Linked DNA regions of Macaca mulatta. The protein of the gene in region 2 interacts with the protein of the main gene of each other region in a biochemical or structural test. Links are inferred from orthologs where the notes say so. Each region holds a gene or a part of one and is shown on either strand. Other genes may lie near its edges. The genes, in order: IFNAR1 and STAT2.

Region 1 (3,818 bases), on a different chromosome or scaffold from region 2:
AGGTTTAAGGGAATTTTTGTTCTTTTTCAAAGATGTTAGATTTTGCATCATGCAAATGAATGGCTTGGAAAGTGAACTGCTCCGGCGATATTTACTGAGGAATATAATTCAGCAACTTCTTCTTACCTTTGCGAAATGGTGTAAACGAGTCAACCTCACACCATGAAGAAGTGTTTTCTTTTTCTGCTCTTATACGCAATTTAATTTCATCATAAATGTTCAGCTTGAGCGAAGAAAAGTTGCATTTGGTACTAGTCATATTCTGACATCCAGGCAATTTTATCCAATTATCCATCTCAGGTCTTTAAAGTAAAATAAAACAAATGAATGAGTGAGCAAATGTATAAGTATAGTCAAATACTTTATATTTACTGGTTTAAGAGTTATTTCTTAACTCTTAATAACTCTCGTTTAAGAGTTATTTCTATTTTTAGTTTAAGAGTTATTTCTTCTATTTGAGCTAATGTCCGATTAACATTTCAGGGTACACCCTTCCACTCTTTTTCAATGCATATAAGCCAAGTTATTACTTATAAAATTGAATTTTAAAATACAGTTCTTTATATAATTTTTTGGGTGGTTGCTTTACGATTTCAAGGAAGCAGAGAAATAAATGACCTATAAGGTAAAAGTGGATTTAGTATGTTGGCTCTGTTAAAAATAGCTGTGTGACTTCTGGTAAACTATTTTATGTTTCTGGATCTTATCTTCCTTACTGAAAGTTCGGAGCCTGGTCAACATAGCAAACCCTGTCTCTATGAGAAAAAAAAAAAAGGCAAAGCAGGGTATGGTGGCATGTGCTCATAGTCCTAGCTACTAGGAAGGCTGAGGTGAGAGGGTCATTTGAGCACAGGGGTTCAAGGCTGCAGGCTGCCATAGGTTATGATCATATCACTGCAATCCAGCCTCAGCAACCGAGTAAGACCCTGTCTCTAATAAAATAAAATTAAATAGAAATTGGAGAATTGGATTGGATGATTCCTTTCTGACCTCCTCCTATGAATAGACTTCCCTAAGAAAGACCTCGGAATCAGTATGGTTTCAGGGTTTCCACAGCCCTCTCAAAGACCATCCCTTCTGCTTGCCTGTCTCCGTAATTTCTTCTATTACATCATCAGAAACCACTTAAAACGTTTACATAAACAAATTAATTTTTGGAAGTGGAACTGGCCAATCAAAAAGCTGAAGTGATTGATATTACCTTTTGAAAAAGGGGCAAACATGAAGAAATCAAGCGCGCAGGGGGTGCCTAAAGCAGAAAAGGACATGTTGCTCAGAAAGGGGAAGAGCTTGCAGGGAAAGTGAGGGATAGAAATGAACTTAGTAGCTTTCTTTTTTTTTTTTTTTTTTTTTTTTTTTTTTTTTTTTTGAGACAGAGTCTCACTCTGCTGCCCAGGCTGGAGTGCAGTGGAGCAATCTTGGCCCACTGCAACCTCCACTTCCTAGGTTCAAGCAATTCTCCTGCCTCAGCCTCTCAAGTAGCTGTGATTACAGGCATGTGCCACCACGTCTGGCTAATTTTTGTATTTTTTCGTTTTTTTTTTTTTAGTAGAGATGGGGTTTTGCCATGTCGGCTAGACTGATCTTAAACTCCTCACCTCAGGTGACCTGCCCACCTGAGCCTCCCAAAGTGCTGGGATTACAGGCGTGGGCCACCATGCCTGGCCAATTTAGCAGATTTCAAAGCTTTTACCTATGTTAAGCCCATCAACTGTAAAAGTAGCAGGGAAACTATCTTCTGGGAAGGCATTTTTGTCAAGCCTAATTCATTAGCTGATTTATTTATTTTTAATAATATCACAGATGCCATTTTAAAGATGATTTAGATACTAGAAACTAGAAATAATACCAAAATAATTTTGCTGCTGAACCAAATACTAGTCTACCTTATTTTTCAAAACGGAAACATTTTAAAGAAATTACCAAAAATATACACTAGCATATGAAATACTTCATTCTTGGTCAGTTTTCACTTCCACTTTACATATCTGAGGCCTGAGATTAGAGCTGGCATTAAAAATATCTTAAACATTCTTGAAAAGGTTCCACATCAGAAACTATTTCTAAAAATCCAGAAACTCTTGTTATAAACAGAAAACCTTATCAAAAACTTGAAACTTAATATAATTTCAACCCAACCTCACTGTTCACATCTGTCTTTCCTATTTCAGGAGATGCTGATGCATGCTCCATTAAAACTGTTTCACATCTAATCAAGATATTGCAGCAGAAGCTACTTTTATAGTTTCTTAAAAAAATCATTATTGGCTGGGTGCAGTGGCTCACACCTGTAATCCCAGCACTTTGGGAGGTGAAGGCGGGTGCATCATCTGAGGTCAGGAGTTCGAGACCAGTCTGGAAAACATGGAGAAACCCCATCTCTACTAAATATATCAAGGAGATAATAGGAAAGCCTGATCACAGGAAACCTCGTGGCCTATTCCAAGGTCTTGGATGGGCCTTTTGGAGTACTATGCCGTATCCTCAAGATACACCCTAGTTCAGATCCCAACTTATATTGAAAGAAGCTGGAACACCCAGAGGAAAGAAGGAATGGCTATGGCTTAGAGATGCTGTCTACCACCTTCATCCCCAATTTTTTTGCTTCAACACCCAAAGATGTATTTGACTAAGTCTCTACAGAAACAAAGTTAAAAATACTATGTAAAATAGGCATAACATTTCTAAAAAATAGAAGAACCAAATACTTTCCAAATCTGAAAATTATGGTGCTAAACTTGTAAAAATGATTCAGGTCATTCTGACAAATCAGTAAGTAGAGTCACATACTTTTGATAATCGAATGAAAAAGTCACATTCCCGACAGATTCTTCACTCCTGTTCCACCTCAGGATAAAGTTGTCATCTATGACGTCAACCTCTACTTTTTGAGGAGATTTTAGATTTTTTCCACCTATAAAGGCAACAAGAAATAAGAACATTATATATAAACTCTACAGATATTCTAAATGTTACTCTATCCCTCACATCCCTGATTAAAGAATGAATACAGTAAAATATAATGAAGTATATTTTAAAAATCTAAAAAAATCTAATGATTGCTCCCAGCACAGGGATGCTGGTAATTACATTTCTGCATCTGAGAGAGCTGGAAAAAGAGTTGATTTTTTTTCCTTTTTGAAAAAGGGTTGTCTTTTAATTAAAAAACGAATGGTCTCTGCATGAAAATAGAATTTTTCTTGGCCTTATTAGTGACACTGATGAGTCACTCTTATGATGAGGTTCAACTGTTTTATGGCCTCAGTGTGATTTCACATTGTATGTTCAGAGAGAGATAGAGATGCTTCTTGATTTACAATGGTGTTATGTCCTGATAAGTAAGGGTGAGTCCTAGGGGCAATCAAGTGCTGGCTTCCTCCCTGCAGTACTCCTTGTGGTAACACTGTCACAAATAACTGACCAGTGCCAGGAGTCACCTGCCCAAGCAGTGCCTCTGAGCCCTGGGTAGTACCAACAGCAGCTGTACTCCCTGATGTCGTACCCCCTGCCCCATCTCCCACTGCAGGAGTGGGAAAGTATAGTGTATCTCAGCAGCTGTCCCCTCTGTGTTAACTGTATCATAACTGGTGTAAGCACCCTGGATCACCACCTGGGTCATGGATTGAGTGGTAGGATAGCCACTGATGGCACCAGTGCCCTCAGTCTGGACATCCAGCTGCCCCTCACACACCTGATCACCCTGCGCATCACTTGACGCTGGGGTCAGGGAAGGCAGCAGCTGACTGGATGCTGGCAATAGCCCCACTGGCTGGGTCTTCCCCAGTAGCCATTGCACGTGCCTGAATCTGCACTGTCCC
Region 2 (3,818 bases):
TCTGGAGGCTGAGAGGTGGGAAGATTGCTTGAGCCCAGTAGGTCGAGGCATGGAGGCAGCAGTGAGCTGTATCATGCCACTGTTCTCCAGCCTGGTGACAGAATGACACCCTCTTTCCCAAAAAAAAAAGAGTGCTGTTCATCTGTGTGATCTCACTGAATCTTCGTACCTCTTCAAACCCTCGGAAGGTCGCTGTTGTCAGCAAAGTGAAGTGACTTGTAAAAGATAAAAAAGCTAAGTGGCAGAGCTTGGTCCAAAACCTGGGTTCCAAACCTAGGCTATTTCTCCATACAAGGGGAGCAGGGAGGCAGGGGCCTGGTGGGGCAGGGGGTTGGGGGACGGCTCACAGCTGCTCTTTGTGCTCCAGACGCATCATGGGCTTTGTGAGTCGGAGCCAGGAGCGCCGGCTGCTGAAGAAAACCATCTCTGGCACCTTTCTACTGCGCTTCAGTGAATCGTCAGAAGGGGGCATTACCTGCTCCTGGGTGGAGCACCAGGATGATGGTCAGCTGCTGTGCCCTGCCATTCCCACAGCCTCTCCTTTCTGCCTGGCTCCCCTCTTGCCCCTCTGCCTGCCCTTGGCTTCCCTGGCTCTGTCCTGCATCCCTCAACCGGTTTGGGACTGGGGAGCCAGAGCAGGGAGCTCCAAGGCCCGGCCTCTTCCCTCAAGCCTGCCTGTTATTGCATTCACTCTCCAGACAAGGTGCTCATCTACTCTGTGCAACCGTACACCAAGGAGGTGCTGCAGTCACTCCCGCTGACTGAAATCATCCGCCATTACCAGTTGCTCACTGAGGAGAATATACCTGAGAACCCACTGCGCTTCCTCTATCCCCGAATCCCCCGGGATGAAGCTTTTGGGTGCTACTACCAGGAGAAAGGTGGGAATTGTTGACATACTTCATTGCTAGATTGCAGAGATCTTCAGACATCCATAGATCCCACTCCTTCCTTTCAAGCATGGGAAGACTGATATCTAGAGGAGTTAAGGGATTTGTCCATGGGATACTGCTGGTTCCTATGGGGATGAGACTGCCAGGACCGTCTGAGGGGAACCTCAGGCTATGTGTCTGGCCCACTGATCTTCTCTGCTTCTTATATATGTTCCTCACAGTTAATCTCCAGGAACGGAGGAAATACCTGAAACACAGGCTCATTGTGGTCTCTAATAGGTGAGATATAAACTCTCCACCCATCCTCCCTAGTCCTTTTTGGCTGTGCTTCAGTGAATTGTCAAAAGGGGGCATTACCTGCTCCTGGGTGGAGCACCAGGACGATGGTCAGCTGCTCTGCCCTGCCATTCCCACAGTCTCTCCTTTCTGCCTTCTCCTAACGTGCCCCTATTCCAGTCTCCCCAGCCTTCCCTCCCTCCTAGCCCACTCTAGTTTTTTCCAGTTCTAGTCTCTCCTATCTCATATTTTTCTGCTGCCATCCTTAGGTTGTCTCCACAGGGGTTTCTGGATAATAATGATCATAATGACTGGTGTTAATGGGCACCTACTTGATGCCAAGCATGGAGCTTTTTTTTTTTTCCCCAGACAGGGTTTCGCTCTGTCGCCCAGGCTGGAGTGCAGTGGTGTGATCATGGCTCACTGCAGCCTCGACCTCCTGAGCTCAAGCAATACAGGCATGCATCACCAAACTCAGCTAATTTTTTGTGTGTTTTTTGTAGAGATGGGGTCTTACCATGTTGCCCAGGCTGGTCTTGAACTCCTGGACTCAAGCAATCCACCCGCCTTGGCCTCCCAAAGTGCTAGGATTATAGGCATGAGCCACCACGCCCCGCCTATATATATTTTTTTTGAGACAGGGTCTCTGTCACCCAGGCTGGAGTGCAGTGGTGCAATCATGACTCACTGCAGCCTTGACCGAGGGGTTGAAGTGATGCTCCTGCCTCAGCCTCCCAAGTAGCTGAGACTACAAGCACACACCACCACACTCAGCTAATTTTTAAAATTTTTTGTAGGGATAGGGTATCACTATGTTGCCCAGGCTAGTCTTCAACTCCTGGCCTCAAGCAGTGTCCTGCCTTGGCCTCCCAAAGTGCTGGGATTATAGGAATGAGCCCTGGCACTTGGCTGGGGATAGTTTTTTTTTTTTTGAGACAGAGTCTCGCCCTCATTGCCCAGGCTGGAGTGCAATGGCGCAGTCTCAGCTCATTGCAACCTCTGCCTCCCAGGCTCAAGCAATTCTCCTGCCTCAGCTTCCTGAGTAGCTGGGATTACAGGCTAGCGCCACCCATGCCTGGTTAATTTTTATTTTTTTTGAGACAGAGTCTCGCCCTGTTGCCCAGGCTGGAGTGCAGTGGCATGATCTCAGCTCGCTGCAACTTCCACCTCCCAGGTTCAAGTGATTCTCCTGCCTTAGCCTCCCAAGTAGCTGGGACTACAGGCACGCACCACCACCACGCCTGGCTGATTTTTGTATTTTTAGTAGAGACAGGGTTTCACCATATTGGCCAGGCTGCTCTCAAACTCCTGAACTCGTGATCCGCCCACCTTGGTCTCCCAAAGTGCTGGGATTACAGGCGTGAGCCACTGTACCCGGCCTAACTTTTGTATTTTTAGTAGAGACGGGGTTTCACCAAATTGGCCAGGCTGGTCTTGAGCTTCTGGCCTCAAGTGATCTGCTCGCCTCAGCCTCCCAAAGTGCTTAGATTACAGGTGTGAGCCACCGTGCCTGGCCTGAAAGTTTATTTTGTGCCAGGCACTAGGCTAAATGGTTTATGTTTATTTTCTCATTTTATTGAATCTACAAAATAGTCCTTTGAAGTAAACACTGTTACTGTTTTCAGCTAAGGAACTGGATTTAGAGTAGTCAAGTTTTGTACCTAAGGTACATGGCTAATAAATGATACAGGTCTGTTAGATTCCATAGCCCTGCTTTCAACCACCCTACTGCCTCTCAAGAATTACTAGGTATTGTTCTCATTTATAGATGATAAATCTGAGGCTCAGAAAAGTTAGGATACTTGCCTAAGTTCCCCCAGCTAGTAAATGCCAGGATTCAAACTCCAGGAGGCCTGATTCCGAACTCCATGATCTTTAGCCCTCTGCTCTTCTGCCTTCTTAGACTAGCTGCTTCTTGTTCTACCATTCCTTCTTTCATTTAAACCACTGAGCCCTGCCCCTTTGTCTGTCTTTGGGTATCCAGACAGGTGGATGAACTACAACAACCGCTGGAGCTTAAGCTAGAGCCAGAGCTGGAGTCGTTAGAGCTGGAACTAGGGCTGGCGCCAGAGCCAGAGCTCAGCCTCGACTTAGAGCCACTGCTGAAGGCAGGGCTGGATCTGGGGCCAGAGCTAGAGTCTGTGCTGGAGTCCACTCTGGAGCCTGTAATGGAGCCCACACTATGCATGGTATCACAAACAGTGCCAGAGCCAGACCGAGGACCTGTGTCACAGCCAGTGCCAGAGCCAGATTTGCCCTGTGATCTGAGACATTTGAACACTGAGCCAATGGAAAGTAAGTGATGAAATAGAGCTATGGAAGACAGCACACATTCCCTTTCCTACCCCTTCTCCCTCTCCCATTACAGAAAAAACTGAGCTCCAAGCTCCTCATTGGAGAGAGGTCCATTCTGTGATTCCTTTTTTTTTTTTTTTTTGGAATTACACATGCCTTCCCCCACCTCCCTACTCTTTGATCCCACAAGTTCCCCCTCAGGCTCTTCCCAGGCCTTTCCTGCCATCCTCCCTCCCTTTCCTTGCTGGGTTGGGAATTCCTAACTAAGATCAGGGCCTCACTTTTCTCTCTGGGTTACCTAGTCTTCAGAAACTGTGTAAAGATTGAAGAAATCATGCCGAATGGTGACCCACT

Evidence for each region.
Region 1: the proteins of STAT2 (region 2) and IFNAR1 form a complex in vitro, tested with the Homo sapiens proteins (2 studies listed by BioGRID). The link is inferred for Macaca mulatta from reciprocal best matches to the Homo sapiens genes STAT2 and IFNAR1.

What each region holds. Positions count from the first base shown.
Region 1 is NC_133408.1:14,046,900-14,050,717, forward strand, and holds part of IFNAR1 (interferon alpha/beta receptor 1 precursor), read right to left. Parts: exon of another isoform or gene 3,126-3,818; intron 2,915-3,125; coding exon 2,791-2,914; intron 303-2,790; coding exon 127-302; intron 1-126. UniProt on the Homo sapiens protein: Together with IFNAR2, forms the heterodimeric receptor for type I interferons (including interferons alpha, beta, epsilon, omega and kappa).
Region 2 is NC_133416.1:63,514,274-63,518,091, reverse strand, and holds part of STAT2 (signal transducer and activator of transcription 2), read left to right. Parts: intron 1-367; coding exon 368-504; intron 505-698; coding exon 699-881; intron 882-1,114; coding exon 1,115-1,172; intron 1,173-3,153; coding exon 3,154-3,464; intron 3,465-3,766; coding exon 3,767-3,818. UniProt on the Homo sapiens protein: Signal transducer and activator of transcription that mediates signaling by type I interferons (IFN-alpha and IFN-beta).